Linked DNA regions of Ovis aries. The protein of the gene in region 3 binds, or shares a complex with, the protein of the main gene of each other region. Links are inferred from orthologs where the notes say so. Each region holds a gene or a part of one and is shown on either strand. Other genes may lie near its edges. The genes, in order: CRNKL1, LSM7, SNRPD3, USP39, CWC22, PPIL2 and GEMIN2.

Region 1 (4,207 bases), on a different chromosome or scaffold from region 3:
AACTCCTTATTGCCAAATTTGGACTCAAATTGAAGAAAGTAGGGAAAACCGCTAGACCATTCAGGTATGACCTAAATCAAATCTCTTATGATTATACAGTGGAAGTGAGAAATAGATTTAAAGGACTAGATCTGATACATAGAGTGCCTGATGAACTATGGAATGAAGTTCGTGACAGGAGACAGGGATCAAGACCATCCCCATGGAAAAGAAATGCAAAAAAACAAAATGGCTGTCTGGGGAGGCCTTACAAATAGCTGTGAAAAGAAAGAGAGGCGAAAAGCAAAGGAGAAAAGGAAAGATATAAGCATCTGAATGCAGAGTTCCAGAGAATAGCAAGAAGAGATAAGAAAGCCTTCTTCAGCGATCAATGCAAAGAAATAGAGGAAAAGAACAGAATGGGAAAGACTAGAGATCTCTTCAAGAAAATTAGAGATACCAAGGGAACATTTCATGCAAAGATGGGCTCGATAAAGGACAGAAATGGTATGGACCTAACAGAAGCAGAAGATATTAAGAAGAGGTGGCAACAATACACAGAAGAACTGTACAAAAAAGATCTTCATGACCCAGATAATCACGATGATGTGATCACTCACCTAGAGCCAGAAATTCTGGAATGTGAAGTCAAAGTGGGCCTTAGAAAGCATCGCTACGCACAAAGCTAGTGGAGGTGATGGAATTCCAGTTGAGCTGTTTCAAATCCTGAAAAATGATGCTGTGAAAGTGCTGCACTCAATATGCCAGCAAATTTGGAAAACTCAGCAGTGGCCACAGGACTGGAAAAGGTCAGTTTTCATTCCAGTCCCAAAGAAAGACAATGCCAAAGACTGCTCAAACTACCGCACAATTGCACTCATCTCACACGCTAGCAAAGTAATGCTCAAAATTCTCCAAGCCAGGCTTCAGCAATACATGAACTGTGAACTTTCTGATGTTCAAGCTGTTTTTAGAAAAGGCAGAGGAACCAGAGATCAAATTGCCAACATCCGCTGGATCATCAAAAAAGCAAGAGAGTTCCAGAAAAACATCTATTTCTGCTTTATTGACTATGCCAAAGCCTTTGACTGTGTGGATCACAATAAACTGTGGAAAATCCTGAAAGAGATGGGAATACAGACCACCTGACCTGCCTCTTGAGAAATCTGTATGCAGGTCAGGAAGCAGCAGTTAGAACTGGACATGGAACAACAGACTGGTTCCAAATAGGAAAAGGAGTACGTCAAGGCTGTATATTGTTACCCTGCTTATTTAACGTATATGCAGAGTACATCATGAGAAATGCTGGGCTGGAAGAAACACAAGCTGGAATCAAGATTGCTGGGAGAAATATCAATAACCTCAGATATGCAGATGACACCAACCTTATGGCAGAAAGTGAAGAGGAACTAAAAAGCCTCTTGATGAAAGTGAAAGTGGAAAGGAAAAAGTTGGCCTAAAGCTCAACATTCAGAAAACGAAGTTCATGGCATCTGGTCCCATCACTTCATGGGAAATAGATGGGAAACAGTGGAAACAGTGTCAGACTTTATTTTGGGGGGCTCCAAAATCACTGCAGATGGTGACTGCAGCCATGAAATTAAAAGACGCTTACTCCTTGGAAGAAAAGTTATGACCAATCTAGATAGCATATTCAAAAGCAGAGACATTCTTTGCCGACTAAGGTCCATTAGTCAAGGCTATGGTTTTTCCTGTGGTCATGTATGGATGTGAGAGTTGGACTGTGAAGAATTGATGCTTTTGAACTGTGGTGTTGGAGAAGATTCCTGAGAGTCCCTTGGACTGCAAGAAGATCCAGCCAGTCCATTCTGAAGGAGATCAGCCCTGGGATTTCTTTGGAAGGAATGATGCTCAAGCTGAAACTGCAGTACTTTGGCCACCTCATGCGAAGAGTTGACTTATTGGAAAAGACTCTGATGCTGGGAGGGATTGGGGGCAGGAGGAGAAGGGGACGACAGAGGATGAGATGTCTGGATGGCATCACGGACTCGATGGACGTGAGTCTGAGTGAACTCCGGGAGTTGGTGATGGACAGGGAGGCCTGGCGTGCTGCGATTCATGGGGTCGCAAAGAGTCGGACACAACTGAGTGACTGAACTGAACTGAACTGAACTTTAGTATTAACCGCCGACGGAAAAAGTGAGATCAACCAAAATACAGCCCTTGTCATCTCTTTTCACTCCTTCCACTCTCACCCGGGGTTGACTCCTATTACAGCCTTCAGCACAGCTTAATCATCACTTCTTGCGCTGGAGACCCCTCACACGAGCCCAGGAAGCCACGGCCTATTCCTCTGGGGCTCAGGAGCCTTTGCAAGGCTGCAGTTCTACCCTTACGCAGGGTAGCTCGTAGCCCGCTCTACCCGGAGCCCCAGCGACTAGCGAGTGTCTGTTTCAGCGTGTCTGTGCTGAAGAACCTCTCTCCTCCCCCAGATAAACACTTTTTAACACGACGACCACGCGGACGCGGAGGTGACCCCCATCCCCGGCTGGCCCTCCCCGCCCGCGGCCCCCGCTCAGGTAGGGAGGACCAGCTCCCGGGACCACACGCCTCCCGCCCCAGGGACCACACGCCTCCCGCCCCAGGCACCACCAAGGCCGGGCCAACCCCATCCCCGGCCTCCTCCCACAAGGCCCCGAGCCGCTCACCTTGGCCACTTTGGGGATCCTTTGCTTCCCGGCAGCGGTGGAAGCCGCCATGGCTGCAGCGGCGACCGCGGGCGAGCCCGGGACCACAGAACCTTCCCCGAGGGCTCGCCCACACCGCGCAACTTTCCGACAACAAGCGGGATCCCGGAACCGGAAGCGGAACTGGCTGGGGCGACCTTTGACCTCTTTCCCGCGCCGTGACGGAGTCAACGTCGTTTCTGTGGTAACCGGGCTGCGCGTCCTCTTCGGAGCCTGGGACTCGGGAGTTGCAGGTGAGGTGAGGAGTGCTGGCTGCATCCGGGCCGTCAGGGGCACATCCTCAGATCGCCTCTGGGATTAGGATGACCGTGCGAGGACGGGTGGATCCGTGAAATCGCGGTATCCCGCAAGGGGACAGGAACCCGGCTACCGTGCGGACGCTCGAGGGCGGGGGTGGGGTAGAAAACTACCTCCTGGCATACCTAGCGGCAAGCTGCTGACCTCCTCGGCCGCCCTGAGCTGGGGTGCATTCTGGGCTTTGTAGGCCCGAATGGTCAACTGCCCCTTGGTTTCCGGACAGTTGTGACCAAATAATTCTATGGCTTATAAATGAAAGTGACTGAAGGAATTTTAAAGCCAGATAACAGAAAAAAGTGAAAATAAATCATCGGAGTACTAGCAAATAACCCAGCCTTATAATGTCAGATAAGCAATGTAATATATCAATCTTAAATAATATCAGATAAACAGATATTTAAAATTTTCTGTCATTGTGTCTTAATGTCAATTTTCGTAGCGCCAGTTCGCTTAACTTTTGTTGTTATTGAGTCGCGAATTCAGGTCCCACTCTTTGCGACCTCATGGACTGTAGCACACCAGGCTTCTCTATCCTCCACTATCTCCTGTAATTTGCTGAAATTTATGTCCGTTGAGTCAGTGATTGCATCTAACCATCTCACCCTCTACCACCTCCTTTTCCTTTTGCCTTCAGTCTTTCCCAGCATCAGGTCTTTTCCACTGACTTGGCTCTCTGAATATAGTGGCCAAAGTATTGGAGCTTCAGCTTCATTCCTTCCAATGAACACTCAGGGTTGATTTCCTTTAGGACTGACTGGTTTGATCTCCATGCAGTTCAAGTGACTCTCAAGAGGCTTGTCCAGCACCACAACTAGAAAGTATAAATTCTATGGTGATCAGCCTTCCTTATGGTCCAGCTCTCAAATCTGTGCATGACTATGGAGAAAACCATAGCTCTGACCATACAGACATTTGTGGCAAAGTGATATCTCTGCTTTTTAATATATTGTCTAGGTTTGTCATAGCTTTCCTTTCAAGGAGCAAGAATCTTTTAATTTCATGGCTGCAGTTATCATCCTGCAGTGATTTTGGAGCCCGAGGGGAAAAAATATCTGTCACTGCTTCCATGTTTTCCCCTTCTATTTGCCACGAAGTGATGGGACTGGATGCCATGTTTTTTTAATGTTGAGATTCAAGCCAGCTTTTTCACTCTCCTCTTTCATCCTCATCAAGAGGCTCTTTAGTTCATCTTCACTTTCTGCCATTAGAGTGGTATCATTTGT
Region 2 (4,202 bases), on a different chromosome or scaffold from region 3:
GGGCTGGGGGAAATACAGGGAGCTGGCAAAGCACCTGGGGAGGAGGTGGGTCAGAAAGCTGCTGGAATGTGGCACCCCTAAGCTGAGACCAGAAACACAACGTTGGAGGGAGTTAGGTTTCAGGGAAACAGAGCCCAGTGAGCAAAGTGCCTTTAATATGCTAGAGTTGGAAACAAAGGATGGTTTCCTGTCAGCCGGATCACAGAGTCCTCCTGAATGTGTCAGTGGCACCAGAAAGCTCTCATTTGGACACAAGATCTGACACACTTTGAAAGAGATCCCTCCTGCAGGGCTGAAAATGAACTGGGAGTTTGGGGGACAAAAGCGGCCTTGGAGAGAAGCCAGCAGCCTGAAGCAGAGGTTGGGGGGCTGGCACAGAAAGGGCAACGTTAATGGCCCAGTTTGTAGGGCTGTTGGTGGGGGGGGCACCATTTCCGGAGTTATGGAATTTGGGAGAGAGGGAGGGTTTGGAAAATAAAAAATGCACTCAAGGTAACGTACATCAGCCATCTCCAGGTCTGTCCCCCAGTGGCGACCCTTGAGGTTAAGTGACAAACAAGTAGCATGCCCCACGTCCGGGATCCCCTACATCATCTCGCTGACTGCGCACTGTACACTTATCCTCCTTTTGCAGACGACCAACTCAAAGCGGGAACTCCCCTGCCAAGGTCACGGCAGAAAAAGATGGGGCGGCGATTCGACCCCATTCCAGGGCTGGGCTCCTGGACGCTTCTCGACGCCGCCAGTCACTGGGTGCCACGCTGGGCAGTTGACTACAACCACGGGGAATGGGGGTAGTATCGCTTTCAAGGGGATGCCAGGGTCAGAGAGGGGTAGCCCCCGACTAAGGCCACGGAGTCAGAGAGGGGAGTCCCAGAGGCGGTTGGAGACCCCGAGACAGACCAGCAGGGGCCGGGGCGGAAGCGGGGTAGTGGGACCTAAAACTTTAGGTCCGGGCGGAACCCAGTGACACCACGGCTGGGAACGGCGTCCAGACAGAGAAGGGAGACCGGCCGGGGGACAGACCCGCAAGGTCACGGTCGGGCCCCAGGCCCACGGGTTGCCGGCACCGGGGGCGCGGATCCCCTAAGCTGGCCCCAGGCCGGTCAGGGCGGGGTTCTGCGCGGGGCCAGGGAGGGGTGAGAAGCCGGGGCACCGTGGCCGGCGAGGCCAACGGGGTCGGCGCCGCCCTCACCTGGGCCGCGAGGAGAAGGAAGGCCGCTGCGAGCCGCGCCAGCGCCGCCGCCGCTGCCGCCGCCGCCATGTCGCCCGGTCCCCGCCACAGGCGTCGGCAGATGTTTCCCAGCAACGCCCCGGCGCAGAGCGCCGCGCAGGCGCCCTGCGTCTTTCGCGCATGCGCGCAGGGGTAGGTACAAAGGGCGCAGTGGCGGCGCCTGCGCATAGCGACGCGGCGCGACAAGATGGCGGTGAGCGTGCGGCGCTGCTGGTGGGGTTGGCGGGTTTCGCCGGGCTGGCGGGGTTCGCCGGGCTGGCGGGGTTCGCGGGGCTGGTGGGGTTGACTGGGGAGAGTCCAGCCGTGCTCCCCGCTTCACAGCGTTCTGCATCCCCTGCAGGACAAAGAGAAGAAAAAGAAAGAGAGCATCTTGGATCTATCCAAGTACATCGACAAGACCATCCGAGTGAAGTTCCAGGGAGGCAGAGAAGGTGAGGCCCCGCTGCCCTCCCCCTCCACAGTCCACGAGGAGTAACGGGAGGCGGTACCGGTAACGGATGCCTGGGCCGCGCTTTAGGCGCTTGGCTCGGACAACTCGTCCGGCCTGCTGCCGGCGCCGGCGTATAGGAACGGTTACACCCCTTTTGCAGGTGGGAAAACTGAGGCACGCAAAGGGGCCCAAACCTCGCCCGCAGCCACAGGGGCTAGGATTCAGGTCTCTGCTTCCTTTGGGTCTTGTCTCACCCTGGCGGCTGCCCCAGCCCCCCATGGGCCCCCTCAGCACCAGGGTTTCTCAGTTTCAGCACTGCTGACATTAAGACCGTATTGTTCTCTGTAGGGGGCCGTCCTGGGCGCTGTAGGGTGTGGAGCAGCATCTCTGGTCCCATCCACTCGATTCCAGGAGCCTTCTAGTTCTGATGACCACAGGCATCCCAGACCTGGCCTGGTGTTCCCTGGCAGGGGCAGAATTGCCCCAGTTGAGAACCCAGGCCCTATACTCAATTTACACGAAGCCACCTGAGGCACCTTTTGAAAGCAAACCTCATCTCCTTGTTCACCACTGTTCCAGGGTAAAGAATGAGCCTTTTGCTTTTGAGTGAGGCAGGCAGCTCTCAGCTGCTTTGGGAAGCTCTGCTTGACTCTGCATCCCAAGTCAGGGTCCTTTGGTATAAGCTCCTGGTAACAGCTGTCAGGGCTTGGCAGGTTTTTTTCAGTTACTGTGAGGCTTTAACTGCATCTCCCTCTGCGATCTCGTGAGGAGACTGGCAGGAAAGATGATGCAAGGTTACGTGGAGAGTGCCGTCCAGGGCAGAGCCCCAGCTCACTGGCTGTGGGACTTTGGGCAAGTCGCTATAATCTCTGAGTCTGTCTCATCTGTCAGAGGCTGTTAACTCCACTTACCTCAGCAGTGGTGGTGAAATTAAAGGGTAATGTCATTAGCCAAGTTCCTGACACTTAGTCAGCACCCAGTGCTTCACTTATTCAGCTATCTCTGATCTTCAGTTTCTTTGTTGGTAAGATGGTGATTCAGACGACTCCTCCTCTGAGATGTGGACGCCTGGGTAGCATCAGAGTGGCTAAAAACACAGTGCCTGCCCGTCTAGGTACCCAGCCCAGTGAGGCTCTGAATCTGAACAAACACTGGCACCATGCCGGTTCTGGGATGTACAAGGAGATGGGGCTCCTGCTTCTCAAGGCGCTTGTGTTTGTCTTTTTTTAATTAATTTAGCTGCATAAGGTCTCAGATGTCAGGCCAGGTCTCTCTAATTATGCCATATGGGCTTAGTTGCTCCATGGAATGTAAGACCAAGGATGGAACCCACATTTGCTGTACTGCAGAATGAATTCTTAACCACTTGGACCACCAGGGAAGTCCCTTCTGTTCATTTTCTGTGCTTCAACAACCCATTTTTATCTCACAGCACCTGTGGTTCCAGACTCCAGGTGCCTCAGGCTCAGGTCTCTGACGAGGTTGCAGTAAGGGAGCATCTCTGGGAGCCTGTATCTCAGGCCCGGGGTCCTCGTTTTCTGGCAAGTGTTGGCCAGGGACCCTCTGGGCTCCTAGAGGCTGCCCACTGCCTCTGCCACAGACACTGTCCACAGCATGGCAGTTGACTCCTTCAAGGCTAGCAGAAAAATCTAATTTTTTCAACTTCTCTTTTCAGAAAGGGCCCATCCTTTTAATGGCTCACCTGTAGGTCAGGCCCACCCAGCATAGCCTCCCTTTAGATCCACTAAGAGTGGACTGATTCATGGACCTTGATCACATCCACGAAGCCCTCTGTTACAGCCTGACCACAGACTGACGTCTGATCGAGGGTCCCATCTCACATCAGAGGGAGGGGTGGGGGAATGCTGGATTCATCTGAAAATCCCACCCACCTGCTGCGGCACCTCCCCCAGTAAGAAGGGAGGATCCACAGGTGTGGGCTCACTACCCAACCCGGGGCCAAGTGCCCAGATGGATTCTGGGATTTGTCACTCTCCATCACCCCACTTGGTGAGCACCGTCACAGGGTTGAGGAGGGCTGTCAACAGCAGAGGAAGCAGAGCCAGGGCCTCGCACTCAGGCAGGCCTGGCAGACTTGTTCTGCAGAAGACCAGACAGGGAACATTTTCAGCTGTGCTGGCCAGACGGTCTCTGTCGCAGCTCCTCAACTCCACCATTCAGCAGCTGAGCTGCCACAGCGACATTTACCAAATGAGCGGGGCCGGGCTCTAGTTAAACTGTTTACAAAACAGGCGCAGGCGGATTTGCCGACTGTTGCAGTGGCAATGGTGTGGGGTCAGCTGTCACTGCTCGTCTCCTGGGAGCCCTTCCCTTGCTCCCCCTTTGGTCCTGCATCTGTCCTGTCCCTGAAGAGGCTGCTGCCACGCCTGCGTCTGGCTGGGGGGTGGTCCCTCACCAGTGAGGGCACCCCAATTTCATGTGCTGACACCCTCGTGCAGCTCGCACTTTACCCAGAATGACCATTGATCTTATGCTTGTCCATCTCTCTTCTCTGCTTGGTGATTCCGATAAGCCAGT
Region 3 (4,105 bases):
AGCAGCTCCAAAGAGGACTTTTCGCTCCAGGGAAAGGTGACCCCTCCCCCCGCCCCGGCCGCTCAACCAGGACCCTCCTTCCCTCCATGACCGCAAGCGAGAGATGCCCAGGGGTGTCCCTGCTCAGGGAGTTATCAGGAAAAACAAACAAACCCCAACTGACCGTAGCCGGCCCGGCGGGACCCGCCGGAGCGCACACCTGCCCAGGTTTTGCTCAGAGCTCAACAGCCGGGGCCGCGGCGGCGGTCGGCCCAAGGTCGCGCGGCCGGACCCTGCCCGGCGCTCGGGCGGGGTTCCCCCCCAAACTCGATTCCCAGGCTGAGGGCTGCCCCCCAACCCTGATCCCGGATCCCCGATCCCCAGGGCCCTGCCCCGCGCCCACCGCGATCCCCGGGGTCAGGGCCGCCCCCCGATCCCCGGGGCCCTGCCCCGCGCCCACCGCGATCCCCGGGGTCAGGGCCGCCCCCCGATCCCCAGGGCCCTGCCCCGCGCCCACCGCGATCCCCGGGGTCAGGGCCGCCCCCCGATCCCCGGGGCCCTGCCCGGCGCCCACCGCGATCCCCGGGGTCAGGGCCGCCCCCCGATCCCCGGGGCCCTGCCCCGCGCCCACCGCGATCCCCGGGGTGACGGGGGGACCACACTGACCGGGCTCGAGCGGCGGCCCCGCTGCCTGCGCGTCCACCTCCGTCCTCATGACCCGGGCGGCGCGGGGCTCCCATGGCCCCGGCCCGGCGCGGGCTGCAGCTCTGGCGTCGACTGGGGACGGGAGCGCGCGGCCGGCGCGCGCCGGCTCCCCGGGCGGCCAGCACCAGCGCCCCGGGGGGAGCGGGGGCGGGAGGCGGCGGCGGCCCCAGGCCCCGCCCCGGCCCGCCCCGGCCCGCCCCGGCTCCCACGCCGGCGGCCCCCCGGCCCGCTGCTCCGGGTCCCCGCTCTCCCTGTCCGCACGCCGGGGGCACTCGCCTCGCTCGGGGCACCCCTTCCCCGGCGCCGTCGGCTTCCCAGGCTTCCCCTGCGGGGGCAGGTCCCGGCCCCGGGCCCCCGCCGCCGCCGCCGCCCGCCTCGCTGTCCAGCCCGCGTCTGGCGTCGGGCGCTGGGGACCGCGAGTCCCCCTCGGCCCGGGCCGGCCCGAGGGTCGCTGTTTCCGGCGGCACCTGGGTCCGGTCATCAGCCCCGCTCTTCCCCGGGCCCGGAACTATTGTACCCGAGCTCGGGTTCCCCAGCCGGCGCGGTAAGGATGAACGCGAAGGCGAGAGACGTCGCCCGCCGCCACTCGGGTAAAGGAAGGGGGCGGGCCCTGCGCGAGGCATTTTGGGAACGCGTGGTATTCTGGGAGCGCGCGGCCCGCCATTCGCGCCCTCACGCCTTCGCAGTCGCCGGAGTTCCGTCTGCCCTGCCGCCTCTGAAAGAGGAGCCCGGAGCCGGTGAGGACGGGGCCGGGGGTGCGGGGAGGGCGAGGGCTAGGCCGAGGTCCCGCGGGGGGCCGGGGGGCTGGAGGAGGACGCGCCGCCGAGGAGCCCTGCGGTGCTCGTGGAGGGAGAGCCGCGGGGAGCTGGGCCACCCCGACCCCCAGCGGCGCCTCCCAAGCGCCTGGAGGTGCGTTCGTTAGCTTTTTCCCCGAAGTACTTGCTCTTCGGTTTCCGAACCTCTCCAGGCCGGTGTTTCTCGAAGTATCCAGGCAGTGGTCTTGAGATCGTTCCTGGCTGGTGGCCACCTTCCCCCCAGATCCCTACTTGGCTGATTTCTTTTCAAAGCCCTTGGCATCTCTGCCTCCCTCCCCCTTCCAGGACCTGATCCCCTAACGCTGGAAACACAGGTTATCACATTTCCTTGCTTCTGTCTAAATCGTGTTGCAGCGTCTTGTAACTCCGGCTGCCCTTCCGTGGGGTAGTCTCTGTGCTGCCCCGGTTCCCCCAGCTGCGGTTCAGCGTTGTCCTCAGCAATGGAACCTGTTTTTTCCTAACCTCTCCCGGTCCTTTTCCTCTCTTTCGACCTCCTGCTGCGTGTCAACCGAAAAAATACCGCCACCTAAAAGCTGAGAATTAGGTTTATTCGGTGGGAATCATGAGGACTCCGAGCCCGGAAGACAGGATTTCAGGCGACCCCTGGGAGAGAGAAATGTTGGGTGGGGTGGAGTCAGGCTACAAAGAAGTTTGCAGCAAGGGGCAGGTAATCTGAATATTAAAAGATGACTGTTGAGTAATGGAGACCAGATCTCCGGCCTGAAGAGATTTAATACTTTTCTGTTCTTTGGGAAGATGCAAGAGTCCGGGCTTCCTGAAATCTTTTCTTTCACATGCATCTCAGCTATCTGGGGCCAATTCCTGCTTTTCGGCTGTTCACAGCCTAATTCCTCCTTTACCCTAAAGTTAAGGTACGAGGGACCGCCTCTTGTGCTTCTGACATCCCCCAGCTCCTCAGCACTTACAGGAAGTAACGGACAGCTGCCAAAAAGCCAGTATGGTTTTTACCTGGGCTTAAAAATTTGCATTTGGAAGGCTGGAATACCAGATGGCTGCGACGTGCCTTGATTACTGGAGAGCAGAAAGCATTTCATTTTACAGAAGTTTTCGTTTTATACACCCGTCTTGGGATTGAAAAAATCCACTTGCTTTTTTTCTCTCTTAATTAGATCAAGTCGGGGTTCTCCCTGGTTATATTTTCCCTCCAGGGTGAGCGTTTCCCACTTGTAGCACGCCGCCACCTTGTGAACACTTGGATATTTTCTCTTTAGCTTAATGGTGAAGTAAGTAGACGGTCAGAGTGCTTAATGGGTTGAATTAAACGCACAGCCCCGTCTGAGCTTCCCAGATGGCGCTAGTGGTTAAAAAGACCTCTTGCCAGTGCAGGAGATGTAAGAGACGTGGGCTCCATCCCTGGGTGGGGAAGATCCCCTGGAAAAGGGCGTGGCAGCCCACTCCAGTATTGTTGCCTGGAGAATCCCACGGACAGAGGAACCTGGTGGGCTACAGTCCATGGGGTCGCAGAGAGTCAGAAAAGCGACTTAACATGCGCACTCAAGAGCCCTGTGGTGGAAGGAAGATGGGAGGCAGCTCTTTCCCGTCAGCTTTCCCCCTGTTGAGGCCCTGTTCCTCCCCACTCACACCCTGCACGTGTTTGCCAGATGGGTCCTTCAAGCTCAGAATTCAGCTAAAAAAAAAACTAGTGCACCTCTGGCAACTTTGCTGAGTTTTCCAGAGTGTCAGCCTTGAGGGGTTGTGGTGTTTGCACATGCGTTCTTGGGCGTCGGAAGATGAGCTAACTGCTGTCTCTCTCTCACCGCAGAACTCTCTTCCTGCCGGGATGTCTATCGGAGTGCCGATCAAAGTCCTCCACGAGGCCGAGGGCCACATCGTGACGTGTGAGACGAACACTGGCGAGGTGTATCGGGGCAAGCTCATCGAGGCGGAGGACAACATGAACTGCCAGGTGCCCTGCTCTGTGCGGGGCCGGGGCGGGCCGGAGCCTCGGAGGGCAGGGCGCGGGCGGCTGGGGCTCCTTGAGGTTCTTGCTCAGCGGTGGTTCACCGAGTGCCTAAGCTGTGCCAGGCCCTATTAGAGGTGCCAGAGAGGCGGGCATCAGTGAGAGCCTCTTGGAGGTTGAGAATATGAAACCTAGAATCTGACTGTTTAGATTGCTCGTCCTTCGCTGCTCCCAGTCCCGTGGTTGTCTTCTCACGGACTTTGGGCCCATTTAAGAGAAGCAGCACAGCCTTCCGGAGGAGGCAGTGGCACCCCACTCCAGCGCTCTTGCCTGGAAAATCCTGTGGACGGGGAGCCTGGCGGGCTGCGGTCTGTGGGGTCGCACAGAGTCGGACACGACTGAAGCGACTCAGCAGCAGCAGCGCAGCCTTCAGCGGAGCCGTCAGGCTCAGCGCCCCCGCCCCGCACAGCGCGTTTGCACAGTGCTTTGCAGCTAGCAGAGTCTTCGCTCGCATACTCTGGGTATTTGCCATTTTCCTAGCAGAAGCACCTCGTGTGACTGCACTCGGAGCAAATACTTGGCCAAGCAAGCAGGTTTGGGTGATAGTTTTATCCATGAAATGGGAAGAATGAGATTACGGGACTCACCTGCTGAATATCGCTCTGCCAAGACGTGTTGGACCCAC
Region 4 (3,944 bases), on a different chromosome or scaffold from region 3:
CCTTGGAAGGAAAGTTATGACCAACTTAGGCAGCATAATAAAAAGCAGAGATATTATTTTGCCAACAAAGGTCCATCTAGTCAAGGGTATGGTTTTTCCAGTGGTCATGCATGGATGTGAGAGTTAGACTATAAAGAAAGCTGAGCGCTGAAGAACTGATGCTTTTGAACTGTGGTGTTGGAGAAGATTCTTGAGAGTCCGTTGGACTGCAAGGAGATCCAACCAGTCCATCCTAAACAAGATCAGTCCTGGGTGTTCACTGGTAGGACTGATATTGAAGCTGAAACTCCAATACTTGGGCCACCTGATGCAAAGAGCTGACTCATGGGAAAAGACCCTGATCCTGGGAAAGACTGAGGGCAGGAGGAGAAGGGGACGACAGAGGATGAGATGGCTGGATGGCATCACTGACTCGATGCACATGAATTTGAGTGAATTCGGGTAGCTGGTGATGGACAGGGAGGCCTGGTATGCTGTGGTTCATGGGGTCGCAGAGTCGGACACGACTGAGCGACTGAACTGAACTGGACACTTTAAATGCGCTTTTTATTGTATATCAATCACACCTTAGTAGAACTGTAAAGTAATTCAGGGTGTGGAAGGGGTCATGAAAGTCAGGTCCTGAAGCTTCAGCTTTATTGGCTCCACTCTCTAGTTTCTCTCTGCTCGTCATTCTCATTTTTCTGTGATTCCTCTAAATGTGGAATTAAGAGTCGCCAGGTTGCTCCAATAAGGGTATGACTTGGGAATGTCTCCTGGTTCTGTGCAGGGGTGTTGATCTTTGAGGCGCGGAGACTGTGGAGACGACTTCCCTATTCTCGTTTCGGGATACAAAGTGTCTTGAAGACACCGGGCGTCCAACGACAGCTTCTGTTATCCAGAAATCCCCAGTCAGTAAAAGGTTCTTGCCTCTTTAAACCGGAAAAGGGTAACTTGCAGAAGATCCGCCTACCGGTCTCCGGTGCGCACGCAGCAGCAAAGGAGCCACAAAAGGCACAGTACTTCCCCGAAGTTCTCTGCGGCGTGATTTGTCCCCGTCGGCGACTCGTAGAGAACCTTGGCCTCCATAACAGCGCCGCTTCTGATTGGCTGCTTGCCGCGCGCTCGGTCTTGTCTGGGGGCTGCGCCGGGCGACTCGGCCGGTAGTGGCGATGTCCAGCCGGTCCAAGCGGGAGTCTCGCGGTTCGACCCGCGGGAAGCGCGAGTCCGAGTCGCGGAGCAGCTCGGCTCGCGTCAAACGGGAACGAGATCGGGAGCGGGAGCCCGAGGCGCCGAGCTCCCGAGGCAGCCCGGTGCGCGTGAAGCGGGAGGTCGAGCCGGCGAGCGCGCGCGAGGCCCCGACGCCGGTAGTCCCGGCGGTGAGGGTGAAGCGGGAGCGCGAGGCCGACGAGGACTCGGAACCTGAGCGGGAGGTGCGAGGTGCGCGGGGCCGGGCGCGGGCTCCTCTCTCGCGTTCTTCTTTTTCTCTCTCCAACCTTCTCTCCCCGCGGGAAAGTCACACTTTACACGCGATCCGACTCGACTGCTATTTAATGAGGACCTTACTAGTCTTGGTAATCGTAGCTCTAATGTTTCTAGCAACTTTAATAATAACAGCAGCTTTCCTTTATCGGATACCTAGCTTCGGGGCCAGGCTCGTTGTTTTACAGGTGTTACCTCCTTGAGTTTTTACAAAACACCTGACGAATGAGCCCTGCTGTAATTCCTGAAATCAGACCATTCAGAGTGGAGAGCCTGAACTCTGGGCACTTGGACTACACTGCACTGTCACTTGGGGTTGTAGCTGCCAGGAGGTTTGGATTCTAGTCCGGCCTCTGAGATTGGGTCACTGGTTTGGGAATCTGGGTTTCATATGTCTGTCCCTCTTTAAGTCGATGGAAGGAGTACTGGAACCCATGAGCTTTGAGAGCCCTGTCAGTCACTTCTGTGACTGTACCCTCTGCCTTCTGCTGGACTCATTGTGCTTCTCCTGGGAATTGCTGGAGATCTTTTGGCCCAGCCTTGGTACTCTGACCTGTGTACAGTTTTCCGACTTGTTGATACCTTACCAGTCTCTAAGTAGGTTTCCATCACGTCTGAAGCTTTTCCTGTTTAAGCTCAGTTAATCTTTTCCATATCTGAACTTGGAACTTCTGATTTGAACATGTTTGGTATATACTTGTTTTCTGGTGAGTTAGCAGGTAAACATATCACTAGGCTACACTGTAGGGGCAGTGTTCTTTGTTCCGGGATTGTTCATTCTCCAAGACTATAATTCTGTCTCTGTGCCTGTTTATCTGTTTAAGATTATATTCTTGGGGAGTTCCCTGCTGGTCCAGTGGCTAAGACTCTACCCTCCCAGTGCAGGGGGCCTGGGTTTGATCCCTGGTCAGAGAACTACATGCCACTAGATCCCACATGCCACAGCTAAGAGTTTGCATGTTGCAGTGAAGATCGAAGAGCCTGCCTGCTGTAACTAAGACCTGGCACATCCGAATAAATAAAATAAATACAAGATTATACTCTTATATTAACTCTTAAATTTCTTGCTCAAGGTTTTGCATTTGACATATTTTTGTATTATGCACAGAGTCTAGGATCGCACCTTGCTCATGAAAAGTACTTGATAAATGTTCTGTGAATAATCTAGTAATTTCAGGGTATTCTTTGGTTTCTTTTCTTATATATTCTGTCAGCCTCAGGTTTCCCTTTCTCTGAAAGAGAAATTGTTTTCCAGATATTTTGCTTAGTTGTAGTCAGGAGATTGTTTTCTCTGGGACAGATTAAGATACCAGTTGTGGTTACTGTCTTCTTTTTTTCCTTTTATTTTTATTGTGAAATAGATCATAGGTACTAAGGTAGACTAAATGTCATGCACATGTATAGTTTAAAGAAGAGTGTGAGTATATAGCCTTAAATCTACCACTTGTCAAGGATTGTGAAGGGTCTGACCCTATTTGTACACTACCAGGTTAGCCTGGTAGTGGCTAACTTGGATGGATGGTAGTGGCTAACGGTTTCACGGATGCTGTTAGAAGACATTGAACTACTGGGCCTCAGACAGCATTCTGCAGCAATAACAGTAGCCAGAATATAGCATTGTCATGGTTTCCTAAGTTAGTTCCTATAGTGCGACATGATGAGAATCCATACTCACGGGAAGTGGGTGCACAAGACAACAACTCCGAACCTAGAGAACCTGAATCTTCTACAATGGGCCTTGAGCTTGCCTCGCCTTTGCTCTGTAAGGACACATGGTCTTTGACTTCCAAGGCTGTACAAACAAACTTCACTATGCCAATATCTTTGGCAAGATAGTCTGGAGGCGGTCTGTACCTCTGGTCACAGTATATGCAGAAACAGGAGAGAGCAATGCAGAATTGCCTCCTGACACTGTTCAGCTTCAGAAGTGGTGCTTAACTAGTACCTTGTTTAGTTGCTCAGTCGTGTCCGATTCCTTGCAACCCCACGGACTGCTGCACACCAGGCTTCCCTGTCCTTCACCATCTCCTGGAGCTTGCTCAGATTCATGTCCATTGAGTCGGTGATGCCATCCAACCATCTCATTCTCTGTTGCCCCTTTCTTCTCCTGCCCCCAATCTTTCCCAACATTAGGGTCTTTTCCAATGAGTTGGCTCTTTGCATTAGGTGGTCAAAGTATTGGAGCTTCAGCATCAGTCCTTCCAATGAATATTCAGGGTTGATTTTCTTTAGGATTGACTGGTTTGGTCTCCTTGCTCTCAGGGGACTCTCAAGAGCCTTCTCCAGCACCACAGTTAGAAAGCATTAATTCTTTGGCACTCAGCCTTCCTTATGGTCCAACTCTCACATCTGTACATAACTACTGGAAAAATCATAGCTTTGACTACACAGGCATTTGTCAGCAAGATGATGTCGCTCCTTTTTAATATGCTGTCTAGGTTTGTTATAGCTTTTTTCCAAGGAGCAATCATCTTTTAATTTCA
Region 5 (4,063 bases), on a different chromosome or scaffold from region 3:
TGAAGTCGCTCAGTTGTGTCCAACTCTTCCCGACCCCATGGACTGCAGCCTGCCAGGCTCCTCCGTCCATGGGATTTTCCAGGCAAGAGTACTGGAGTGGGGTGCCATTGCCTTCTCCGTCACTCTGTTGGTGGTCCAGTATTTTCCTATTGACTTAGGTTTGCAATCTTGGAACCTGGTAGGCACTTAATATTTGTTACAGTTGGTAACATTTTTGTTTTGGTTCTTGGTTTAACTACTGTAAAAAGTCTAAAAGGTCTGGTTTCCTTAAGATTTTCACAGAAAAGTGGCTACACTAAAGTCTCCTTTTTTTGTCAACTGCAGAGAAATAAGTTTACAGTAAATTTAAAAAAAATCTTAAGACAGAACCAGGTTGCCAGTGAAATTAAAACACGCTTACTCCTTGGAAGAAAAGTTATGACCAACCTAGATAGCATATTGAAAAGCAGAGACATTACTTTGCCAACAAAGGTCCGTCTAGTCGAGGCTATGGTTTTTCCTGTGGTCATGTATGGATGTGAGAGTTGGACTGTGAAGAAAGCTGAGCGCCAAAGAATTGATGCTTTTGAACTGTGGTGTTGGACAAGGCTCTTGAGAGTCCTTGGGCTGCAAGGAGATCCAACCAGTCCGTTCTAAAGGAGATCAGCGGTGGGATTTCTTTGGAAGGAACGATGCTAAAGCTGAAACTCCAGTACTTTGGCCACCTCATGCGAAGAGATGACTCATTGGAAAAGACTGATGCTGGGAGGGATTGGGACAGGAGGAGAAGGGGAAGACAGAGGATGAGATGGATGGATGGCATCACGGACTCGATGGACGTGAGTCTGAGTGAACTCCGGGAGTTGGTGATGGACAGGGAGGCCTGGCGTCCTGCGGTTCATGGGGTCGCAAAGAGTCGGACACGACTGAGCGACTGAACTGAACTGAACTGAGGTTGCCGGTGAGCTTCTAGAGCGAACTCTATGCTCCTTATCCAAAAGAACTATAATTCCCGTCGTGCATTGCTGCCTTCTCAGCCTACAACTGAGCGCGCCATTTCCGCCCACATTGGCGGTGGGTTCTGGGTTTTGTAGTTTGTTGTCTCTTTTGTCTCCGTCTTGGGAAGGAAAACGTGTGGCCGGATCGACGGCTCTGAATCTGGTATTACAAAACAATGTTTAAAATAAGTTAATACAACAACGTATCACAGTCAGTTTAACGTCAGGTTATTATGTGTTTCACGTCCGTCTTCTTCCTACTGCCGGGCCGGGAAGGGGAAGTGACGTGCTTCCGGTGTAATGGCGGCGCGGTGGAGCTCCAGGTAATTACCGAAGTCCGTAGACTCGCTGCAGGCAGCGAGCTGGAGTTGGGGCGGCAGGCTGCCAGGCCGGGTGGGAAATGAAGGGGCCCCAGGAGTAGGTGCGGGCTCGCTGGTACGGCCGTGGTAGGTTTTCGGGGGCGTTGGGGTCTTCCGCCGCGCGGTGGCCCGCGAGGTTGGACCGTGAGTGTCGGTGGGGCCGAAGAGCCCCAGTGAGTGGGATGGGGAGTACCTGCGCGGACCGGGGGGGTTCCTGGAGCTGTCTCTCCGCGGGGGATTTTATTGTGGAATCCAGCAGCAGCGCGGGTACCCTCTCCTTTAGTGTGGGGTGTGTTTTTTGGCGCGGATCGCTTGGAGCCTCTCGAGTTCTTAGTTCTGGGCCCCAGGCCCCTTTCTTAATGCCTGGGCCCCGAACCATAGGTGTGAGATTAATAAACCCTGGTTTATTAAAAAGCTGTGGAAGTTCTCTCTCGTTCAAAATTTCATGAGTCGTTTCTTTTTCATCATTTACCGTGTAGTTCTGCGGAGTGTTCATTCATTATTACTCGTGTTCTTCCTCTTGTTATCCTTTATCCCTACATAACTTTGTTTTTCAGTCCTTCCGTCGTGTCCTACCTACTCTTTGCGACCCGATGGACTGCAGCACGCCGGGCTTCCCTGTCCTTCACCACTCCCGGAGTTTGTTCAGACTGGTGTCCATTGAGTCAGTGATGCCATCCAGCCACCTCGTCCTCGTTCCTTTCTCCTCCTGATTTCAGTCTTTCCCAGCATTAGGGTCTTTTCCATTGAGTCGTCTCTTCGCATCAGGTGGCCAAAATATTAAGAGTTTCTGCTTCAAGGTCAGTCCTTCCAATGAATGTTCAGGACTGATTTCCTCTAGGATTGACTGGTTGGATCTCTTTGCTGGCCAAGGGATTCTCTAAAGTCTTCTTCAACACCACAGTTCAGAAACATCAATTCTTTGGCGCTTAGCTTTCTTAATGGTCCAGTTCTCACATCCATACATGACTACTGGAAAAACCATAGCTTTGACTAGACTGACCTTTGTCGCCAAAGTAATGTCTCTGCTTTAAATATGCTGTCTAGGTTTTTCATAGCTTTTTTTCTAAGAAGCAAGCGTCTTTTAAGTTCGTAGCTGCAGTCACCAGCTGCAGTGATTTTGGAGCCCCCCCAAAATGTGTCACTGGTTCCTTTGTTCCACCGTCTATTTGCCATGAAGTGATGGGACTGGATGCCATGATCTGTGTTTTGAACGTTGAGTTTTAAGCCAACTTTTTTACTCTCCTCTTTCATCAAGAGGCTCTTTAGGTCTTCCTCACTTTCTGCCATGAGGGTGGTGTGGTATTTGAGGTTATTGATATTTCTCCCAGCAGTCTTGATCTCACCTTGTGTTTCATCCAGCCCTCCATTTAGCATGATGTACTCTGCATATAAGTTAAATAAGCAGAGTGACAACATAGAGCCTTGAGAGACTCCTTTTCCAATTTGGAACCAATCTGTTGTTCCATGTCCGGTTCTAACTGTTGCTTCCTGACCTGCATACAGATTATTCAGGAGGCAGGTAAAGTGTCTAGTATTCTCATCTCGTTCAGAATTTTCCAGTTTGTTGTGATCCACACTGTCAAAGGCTTTGGCATCATCAGTAAAGCAGAAGTAGATGTTTTTCTGGAACTCTCTATTTTTTTCTGTCATCCAGCAATTTAATCCTCTGGTTCCTCTAAATCCAGCTTGAACATCTTGAAGTTCTCAGTTCATGTACTGTTGAAGCCTGGCTTGGAGAATTTTGAGCATTACTTTGCTATCATGTGAGATGAGTGTAATTGTGTGGTAGTTTGATCATTCTTTGGCATTGCCTTTCTTAGGGATTGGAATGAAAACTGACCTTTTGCAGACCTGTGGCCAGTGCTGAGTTTTCCAAATTTGTTGGCATATTGAATGCAGCACTTTAACAGCATCATATTTTAGGACTTGAAATAGCTCGGCTGGGAATTCCATCACCTCCACTAGCTTTGTTTGTAGTGATGCTTCCTAAGGCCTACTTGACTTCACATTTCAGGATGTCTGGCTCTAGGTGAGTGATCACACTATCATCAAGTTAGGTATATCCCTAACTTGATGTAAGTCACTGCTAGCCTACAGCTAGTTTAAGAAAGAAGTGGATTTTGCTAATATAGCTGATCTCACTAGTGACTTTGAGGGCTTTCTTGTTGCATTTCTCTACTTCTCGGTTTAAATCTGAGAATCCTAGCATGGGAGAGTAATGGAACAAAAAGGCCTCTTGGCCGATTAGTTTCAACAACCTCCAGACTTTTTAATAAGCCTGCAGCCTAAATATTTTATCTCAGTATATTCATTTCCCAAGCGGACATTGAAAGAGACATTTCAAGGCCTACAAGGAAGTTCATACTTTCAAAGCCTTTTCTTCATGAGTAATATACCAGGGAAGGAAGCAGTGATTAAAGCAAGGCTTTGCCGTTTGTAGCCAAGCTAAATCGTTTCCCAGTGAACAGATACCCAAAAAACTAGTGTGGGCTGCCTCAGCCGGGGGACCTAAGGGTTCCTTGATTATGAAATAGGTTGGCTAATGGGAGGGTGAGACCCTGTGGAGGTTCATCTTTAATTTGACTTTGAGCTTAACTCATAAGTGGATCAGACTAGAGTTCAGTCCTTTCACCTTGAAAGCTACCCTGTGAGTCCTTTCCTGAATTAGTTTATCAGGACAGGTTTATTCTAGACATGACAGGAGCCTCTGGTCTAGAATGTGGT
Region 6 (3,500 bases), about 580 kb from region 3:
CAAATTCATACTAACTTCCTAGGTATGACGAGTGTCTCGTTTCTTAAGTCCTTAGCTTTTAGAGACACACTCAAATACCTAAGCGTGAACCGGCACGAAGGCACCGACACAGCGGAGGGGACCACAGATAAACTCAGATGCCCGACGGCGGCTGGAGGGAAGCTAGGGCTGGAGACAGGCCGCACGCAAACTCGACTCTCTCGACCCTGAACTATCAGCTAAGACACAAGAGGGCGCTCTCTAGATCAAGGGTGGTAAAAAATGTAAAAAGGCACAGTTGAGGGGGATTTCCTGGGGGTCCAGTGGCTAAGACTCCATGCTCCCAATGCAAGTTCAATCCCTGGTCCGGGAGCTAGATGCCACATGCTCCAACCAAGACACGGCGCAGCCAAGTAAGTAATTAAAAGAAACCAAGTTGGGTCAGATCTTCCTTGCTCGAATCTGAGCCCGAGACACTGCTGGGCTCCCCGCCTCAGCTTGCCCCAGACCACAGCCCCTGCCCCTGCTCCACTCATACCGGGCAAGTAAGAATGGGCCCCGCGCCGCAGGGCCTGTCACGGCTGGGCCTCTGCCTGAAGCGCTCTCCCCACAGGGCACGCCCCACCTGTCTGCAGAGCCCCCCTCAAACTCCATCAGCTGGCCCCCAGCCCCTCTCCCTTGGCCCACTTCACCTCTGACCCCAGGACAGGCCGAGTCTGACCCACCGCAGTGACCTCATTTCCAAAGCCCGCCCTCTCATCTCAGGAGAGGCTTGGCCCTCACTGTCTGCACGTGGCAGGCAGGCACGCAGTGAACGCTTGTGAAGGAGCCACTCTCGGAGCGAGGAGCTCCCCAGCACCCAGACTGTCCGGGCCGCCAAGGCCGGCTGGCTCCTCACTGCTGTCCGCACCTGCTGGGGGCTGGCCGGCCTCCAAGCATTCCCGGAACGCACCCACCAGCAAACCCTGACCCAGCCCTCCCCCAGGGCACCTGCACACGCCCAGGCCCATAGGGAACTGAGAACAAGGCCAGTGCTCGCGGAGGCTGCCTCCACACAGGCGTCCGGCTAGCAAGAGCAGTGCAGGGCACGCAGGGGTGCAGCACGGGGCCCCGGGACTGGGCCGGGGCGCACGACCAATGCCGAGCCGAGCGGAAAGAGCCCAAGAGCCCCCAGCCCCACGCCCAGCCGCCCACCTGGGCCTCAGCCTGAGCAGCTCCGTCTCCAGTGACACCTGGACCACAGCTGGGCAGGGCCTGTGCCCTCAGGGGCCCAGCTCAGCCCACACGGCCCAAGTGCCCCACAGTGAAGGCTCATGCCCTCAACTGTGCCTTTTTAAATTTTTTACCACCCTTGATCTAGAGAGCGCCCTCTTGGCCTTGTGTCTTAATTGATGATTGCAGGGTCGAGAGAGCCGAGTTTGTGTGCCACCCATCTCCAGCCCCAGCTTCCCTCCGGCCGCTGTCGGGCGTCTGAGTTTATCTGTTCCCAGTTTTAAACTACCTGTGCCTCTAGGAAGACAGCATAACATTTTTGATAAACTGAAAGCAAGCGTCTGGCCTGCTCGGAAGGTAAGAACCTGGAGAGAGGTGGGGCTCGGGTAACCCGAGCAGGCCGGAAAGGCTGCTCACCTTCACTGTTCTTCGCAAAGTTCAACTTGACCAGGGACCGCCCATCCAGTTTCTGCAAGAAGCAGAATCAATGAAAATACAGAAGCAGCTAGCGTGCGGAGGTGCTGAGGCCACCAGGCCAGTGTGGCAGGCAGCAGCTCTCTCTGGCCTAACTCCCGCCCAGAACAAGGGTCTCCACCCCTGGGTCTCACAGCACTGGCGCTGCTCCCTGACACCCCCAGGCCCCTGTCCTCCTCTGAGGTAGCACCCTGGTCCCTGGTCCTGCTCCGCTACAGAGCCGGCCCCGCACCGCAGCGCTAACACCCCGCCGGGAGTGAACTGCAGGCACGCCACGAGGGAACGGAGAGCAGCCTGCGCGGCGGAACCGGGCCCAGGCCTGTGGCAGGTGTGCAGGGCTGCGGCGGGAGGGGCCGATCCTGCGTTCTCTCCAGCACGGCACACCGAGCACGCCAGCAGTGGGAAGCTAGCTTCCACACAGCCCGTAAGGAGCATCGCCCAGAGGGGTGGGACGCCCAGCGCCTCCGAGGGTCTAGGACCCGAATCCCCTTCACACCCACCAGCAGGGGCCCAGAATGCTTCGACTCCTCCAGGGCAACGTGCCAGGAGTGACCAGGCCGAAAACGCAGCCCCGGGGCCGGCAGGCTGGGGGCCACTGCACGTGCGCCTGGCCAGCGTTGGTAACAGCAGGGGATGCCAAAGCCCGCGGTGCCGCCGCAGGAGGCTGCCCCTGTGTGACCCCACATGTGGGCACGCGGGGGGCATGCTCCACGGAGGACAGGCGTGGGGAAGGGAGGGGGCACGGGCGCGTGTGACACTAGAGCGTTCGCCGGCCTCACCGAAGCTCCTGCAGGGCCACCTACCTCTCCGTTGCTGGGGTTGGTCCCGTACTTCTTAAGCCAAGGAACGATGTTCCTGGAGGAAGAGACCAAGCGTGTCAGACGGCGACGGGCCAGAGCCGGGGACTGGGCTGGGGGGCGGCTGCCCAGGGGCTGGGGGCTGCTCCGCCCTCTCTCTCCGCCTCATCACGGGAAGGAGTGCTTCTGGCCGCGCAGGCACCAGTGGCCGCTTGGGGTTTCTCCTGCCGTTGTGCACAAGCGTGGACAAACACCACTAATGGCAAGCCCTCCACACACGTTGCTGCGGGTACCGGGCCAGCCTCGGAACCACACTCCGCACAGTTCTGGACGACGGGGGCGAAACGCTCTCGCTGTGACTGGAGAGTGGGTCTGGAACCAGCCTCGCGGTGTGATCTCTACCAGGTTCCCACAAACACCTCCCAGGCAAAAGGGGCCCAGCCTGACAGCGCCCGTCTCCCCTTCATCTGAAGCGCTTTCCGCATTTTCTGAAATGAGGCTGTCACGAGGAACGGCAGAAGCCTGCGTCCTCGGAACACAGACGGGGCACGAGGCTTCCGAGGGCAGCACCAGAGAGGCAGGCACCTCGACTACGGCTCCGCCTTCGTGACGTGAAAGCTACACACTCTCCAATATTCCAACAGCTAGGGGGTGCGGATCAGAACGCTGGGGGCCCCCAGGCAGAGGTCAGAGCGGTGCTGCCCCTCCCATCCCCAAGAGGCCCACCCAGGGCTCTGGAGGCTGCAGGCCCGCAGCGTGGCCCTGCCTGCAGCCCACACCCTCCCGCCGCCCTGTCTCAGGTGGGTGCCAGCAACCTCACCACATCTGCCAGCTTAGACGTCAAGGGGAAACTCACAGCAAGTCAAAGACGACACCTTCGGGAGTGCACACCGGGTAGGTGAAGGGCTGCAGAGAGAGACTGAGGGGCAGCAGAGTCACTCCTGAGCGCCGCCCTCTCCCGACCCAGAGACGCTGGCGGGCGGCCGTGGTCGGGGGCCCCGCCCGCTCCTCGCTGCGCAGCGGGCCCCGCTCCTGCAT
Region 7 (3,500 bases), on a different chromosome or scaffold from region 3:
GCCAAATTAAAAAATTTTGAAAAGTAACATACATTAGGGATATAATCCAATAGAAGAAATGCTATATAAGAAACAGCATTAAATTAGCTCTCAGAGATCTGAATCTTTCTACACTCCCACCACCATGCATTAAGACTGCCTGTTTCCCCAGCCCTTATTTATTAACAGTGTGTCAAACTTGTTTCACCAATGTTAACTGAAAAATGCCAGCTCAGTGGAGATGTAAGTAATGTTTTTATTTTAAGAGTTTGGGCATCTTCTCATATAAGAACAATTTGCATTTCCTTCCTGTGAAATGTCTCTTTACACCCTTTGCTTGTTTTTGTTTTTTAAATTGAGGTCTTGGGCCTTTTTTAGTGATTTTCAGAGCTTTTACATTTAGGGGATAAACTAATTTTAAATGAGAAAAACAAAACGTGGCACCAAAGAGAAAACAATAAATACCTATTCAACACAACAGACAACATGGTATAGGGAGTTACCAGTAATGCAGATATATGAACATCTGCAAGCTTGGGGGCAGGCGAATCCTGAAGGACAAGAAGCAGCTGGCCACATACTTTATTATTAAAGTCATATGAAATATAACTAATCTTTATATTTATAAAATATAAATTAAACATAGCCTCAACATTTCACCACCAGAATATGCAATTTATTAAACATTTTTAAGCACCTGAGTTTTTAAGCACCTGAGTTTTCCTTTGTTTCTCTGATTACTCAGAACTCACTGTTTGACCCTTGCCTAATCATTAAAAAAAAAAAAGTCCTATCTAGCTCAAAAAATTATTAAACAGCTAAAGCACACACTGTTTTAGAAAATAGGCTGTTATACATCAGTCATATATTAGTTGCTTTTTAAATTTCTTTTACAACCTTGGAAAACAAAAAAGCTATTATGCTTCTATGTTTAGCAAATGGGCTTACAAAAACGGTCAGGAGACTGGATTTGGCCTAAGCTATATTCTGCTAAGTCTCTATACTAAATCTCGCTCCAAAACTATGACCTGTTTTTTGTTTGTTTAGTCACAGTATCACTTACTTGTACATAATCGATTCCAGGACTTTCACTTGCGGCTGGTCCAATAGCCCCTTCAGCACATAACCTTTCACCTAGACAAAATTTTTTCCAGCCTTCTTCATCTTCACATTTTGGCTAAAAGAAAAAAAAAAAAGAATTTACTTATGTATTTTCTTTAATACTGAACACTGAAAAAACAAGTGAGGATTCCTTCATATTCCCACCATCTCACACAAACATACAGTGCTTGTAATGGAGTGAACTGTGTCCCCTCAAAATTCCTATGCTGAGATCCTCACCTCCAGCATGTGCTGGTTAGGAGACTGAGTCTTTACAGCAATGATTAAGTTAAAATGAGGTGGGTAGAGTGGGTCCTAATCTAATCTGACTGACATTCTTGTGGGAAAGAGGAAATTCCGATAAAAAGACATTAGGGATGTGTACGCACACAGAAGGCCACGTGGGGACCCAGCTAGGTGGCCATCTGCAAGCCAGAGACAGTGGCCTTGAGAGAAACCTGCTGACACCTCGATCTTAGCCCTCTAACCCACAAAGCTGTGAGAATACCTTACTGTTTGGTAAGCCGCTCCATCTGTGGTGGTTTGTTACAGCAGTCCTAGCAAACCAGAACAGGACCCAGGTGGCCACACCATATGTGGGACATTTTCAGTCTGGATCATACTTTAATGAACACTGACAAGCAAGGAAGTGCTCAAAAGAGGGTGATAAAGACGTAAAATTGATATAAAAAAAAATACACTAAGAATGCTTACAAGAATGAAGCCTATTTATCCCAAGGAAGGAGACATAATTACATACTTCACATAAAAGGCTGTCCAATCAAAGAGGGAATAGATTTATTCTACATTGTCAGATGAAAAAAGCATGACCTTTCAGCTCAACCCTAACAGAACCTAAATTTTTTAAATTTATTTATAGTTGATTTATAATAGAGTTAGTTTCAGGTGTATAGCAAAATGATTCAGTTAACAGAACAATTTTTATTTGGGCACATCACCTCACAAATCATTCTACATACATATGCAGTTTTCCCCCCTGAGGAGAAAGAGCTTTCATTAGATCCTCAGAAGGAGAACAAAACCCCTAATAGGTAAAAGCCTACTGTCCTGGAACAATGTTTTCCCATTACTCCATTAGGTCAGAGACTGTTTCTGCTTCAGGTAGCACTGAAAATCCTAATTATTACATACGGTTGGTGTTTAACAAATGATTAGATCAATCAATCAATCAATGTTCATATTTACATAGTTGCCTTCAGAGGTTGCTTTAAAAATTCTTCATCTTATTATTTACATGTTTCACATCTGCCATGATGAATATATGTGTTACTGCTATGTAATATTCCATTGTTTTGACGGAGGATCTTCATTTATTAAATCAATCAATTATGCTGTCATTTCTCTTTTGACAAAATTATATCACCATCCTGTTACTGGTGCAGCTTCTTTTTGAATTATATAGGTACCCAAAAGTCCTTACCTTGAGCAAGGAAAAAAATGTATCTACCTACCTACCGTCCTCTCCTTCTTCTTACCAGGAGACCTCACCGTACAGTGAAAGGCTTTCGAATCAGACAAAGTTTGGTCTCTATATCAGCTATACTTTTTATGAGTTAAATGATCTTGGGCAAGTGATGTTAGTGTCTTTCACACTTTTCCTAGAGCAGAGCATCCAACAAGTATACAGAAGCATATAGAGAGGTTACACTGAATCTCTCAGATTTCAGCTGGTAGTCTTAGGCCATGAGAACAGCTTCCTCCATTTATCCCAAAGTGACACCATTTAAAACACGTTAGGAAGCACTGCCTAGAAGAAGCTTCTAAAATCTGAAATCTGTGGGGAATTCCCTGGTGGGCCAACGGTTAGGACTCCATGCTTACACTACATGGGTTTGATCCCTGGTGAGGGAACCAAGATCCCACGGGGAGCACAGCATGGCCAAAAGAACCCCCTGAAATCTATGAACCACCTGAAACAATGAGCAAAATTGTATGAATAGGTGTGTTTTCCCCTCTCTGAAAATAAACAGCTTTCATTTGATTCTCCAGAATATGAGACTCCATAAGAGGTTAAAGAGGTTCCCTGGTTGCTCAGCAGTAAAGAATCGGCCTGCCAATGCAGGAGTCTTGGCTTCAATCCCTGGGTTGGAAAGATCCCCTGGAGAAGGAAATGGCAACCCACTCCAGTATTCTTCCCTGGGAAATCCCATGGACAGAGGAGTCTGGTGGGCTACAGGCCATAGGGTTGCAAAGAGTCAGACACAATTGAGTGACAAACACTTTCACTTTTTCAATGGAGATACAGACATAGGATACAGACTTGTGGACACAGTGTGAGAAGCAGAAGGTGGGAAGAATTGGGAGAGCAGCATGGAACATATAAATTACTATGTAAAATAGACAGCCAGTAGAAATTTGCTGGATGAGACAAGAAACTCAAATCAGGTGCTCTGTGACAA

The links.
Region 1: SNRPD3 (region 3) and CRNKL1 share a complex: the UniProt entries of both Homo sapiens proteins name them as parts of the minor spliceosome. The link is inferred for Ovis aries from reciprocal best matches to the Homo sapiens genes SNRPD3 and CRNKL1.
Region 2: SNRPD3 (region 3) and LSM7 share a complex: the UniProt entries of both Homo sapiens proteins name them as parts of the U4/U6-U5 tri-snRNP complex. The link is inferred for Ovis aries from reciprocal best matches to the Homo sapiens genes SNRPD3 and LSM7.
Region 4: SNRPD3 (region 3) and USP39 share a complex: the UniProt entries of both Homo sapiens proteins name them as parts of the U4/U6-U5 tri-snRNP complex. The link is inferred for Ovis aries from reciprocal best matches to the Homo sapiens genes SNRPD3 and USP39.
Region 5: SNRPD3 (region 3) and CWC22 share a complex: the UniProt entries of both Homo sapiens proteins name them as parts of the minor spliceosome. The link is inferred for Ovis aries from reciprocal best matches to the Homo sapiens genes SNRPD3 and CWC22.
Region 6: SNRPD3 (region 3) and PPIL2 share a complex: the UniProt entries of both Homo sapiens proteins name them as parts of the minor spliceosome. The link is inferred for Ovis aries from reciprocal best matches to the Homo sapiens genes SNRPD3 and PPIL2.
Region 7: SNRPD3 (region 3) and GEMIN2 share a complex: the UniProt entries of both Homo sapiens proteins name them as parts of the SMN-Sm complex. The link is inferred for Ovis aries from reciprocal best matches to the Homo sapiens genes SNRPD3 and GEMIN2.

What each region holds. Positions count from the first base shown.
Region 1 is NC_056066.1:39,182,176-39,186,382, forward strand, and holds the start of CRNKL1 (crooked neck-like protein 1), read right to left. Parts: upstream 2,801-4,207; 5' UTR 2,700-2,800; coding exon 2,649-2,699; intron 1-2,648. UniProt on the Homo sapiens protein: Involved in pre-mRNA splicing process. As a component of the minor spliceosome, involved in the splicing of U12-type introns in pre-mRNAs.
Region 2 is NC_056058.1:19,032,414-19,036,615, forward strand, and holds the start of LSM7 (U6 snRNA-associated Sm-like protein LSm7), read left to right. Parts: upstream 1-1,402; 5' UTR 1,403-1,421; coding exon 1,422-1,427; intron 1,428-1,574; coding exon 1,575-1,665; intron 1,666-4,197; coding exon 4,198-4,202. Other genes in the region: SPPL2B (signal peptide peptidase-like 2B), read right to left, coding at 1,196-1,402. UniProt on the Homo sapiens protein: Plays a role in pre-mRNA splicing as component of the U4/U6-U5 tri-snRNP complex that is involved in spliceosome assembly, and as component of the precatalytic spliceosome (spliceosome B complex).
Region 3 is NC_056070.1:71,547,568-71,551,672, reverse strand, and holds the start of SNRPD3 (small nuclear ribonucleoprotein Sm D3), read left to right. Parts: upstream 1-1,305; 5' UTR 1,306-1,421; intron 1,422-3,282; 5' UTR 3,283-3,300; coding exon 3,301-3,426; intron 3,427-4,105. Other genes in the region: protein GUCD1, read right to left, coding at 961-1,165. UniProt on the Homo sapiens protein: Plays a role in pre-mRNA splicing as a core component of the spliceosomal U1, U2, U4 and U5 small nuclear ribonucleoproteins (snRNPs), the building blocks of the spliceosome.
Region 4 is NC_056056.1:57,457,922-57,461,865, forward strand, and holds the start of USP39 (ubiquitin carboxyl-terminal hydrolase 39), read left to right. Parts: upstream 1-1,144; 5' UTR 1,145-1,151; coding exon 1,152-1,419; intron 1,420-3,944.
Region 5 is NC_056055.1:130,058,717-130,062,779, forward strand, and holds the start of CWC22 (pre-mRNA-splicing factor CWC22 homolog), read left to right. Parts: upstream 1-1,263; 5' UTR 1,264-2,136; intron 2,137-4,063. UniProt on the Homo sapiens protein: Required for pre-mRNA splicing as component of the spliceosome. As a component of the minor spliceosome, involved in the splicing of U12-type introns in pre-mRNAs. Promotes exon-junction complex (EJC) assembly.
Region 6 is NC_056070.1:72,128,805-72,132,304, forward strand, and holds part of PPIL2 (RING-type E3 ubiquitin-protein ligase PPIL2), read right to left. Parts: intron 3,382-3,500; coding exon 3,319-3,381; intron 2,521-3,318; coding exon 2,469-2,520; intron 1,661-2,468; coding exon 1,609-1,660; intron 1-1,608. UniProt on the Homo sapiens protein: Has a ubiquitin-protein ligase activity acting as an E3 ubiquitin protein ligase or as an ubiquitin-ubiquitin ligase promoting elongation of ubiquitin chains on substrates.
Region 7 is NC_056071.1:46,865,174-46,868,673, reverse strand, and holds part of GEMIN2 (gem-associated protein 2), read right to left. Parts: intron 1,157-3,500; coding exon 1,043-1,156; intron 1-1,042. UniProt on the Homo sapiens protein: The SMN complex catalyzes the assembly of small nuclear ribonucleoproteins (snRNPs), the building blocks of the spliceosome, and thereby plays an important role in the splicing of cellular pre-mRNAs.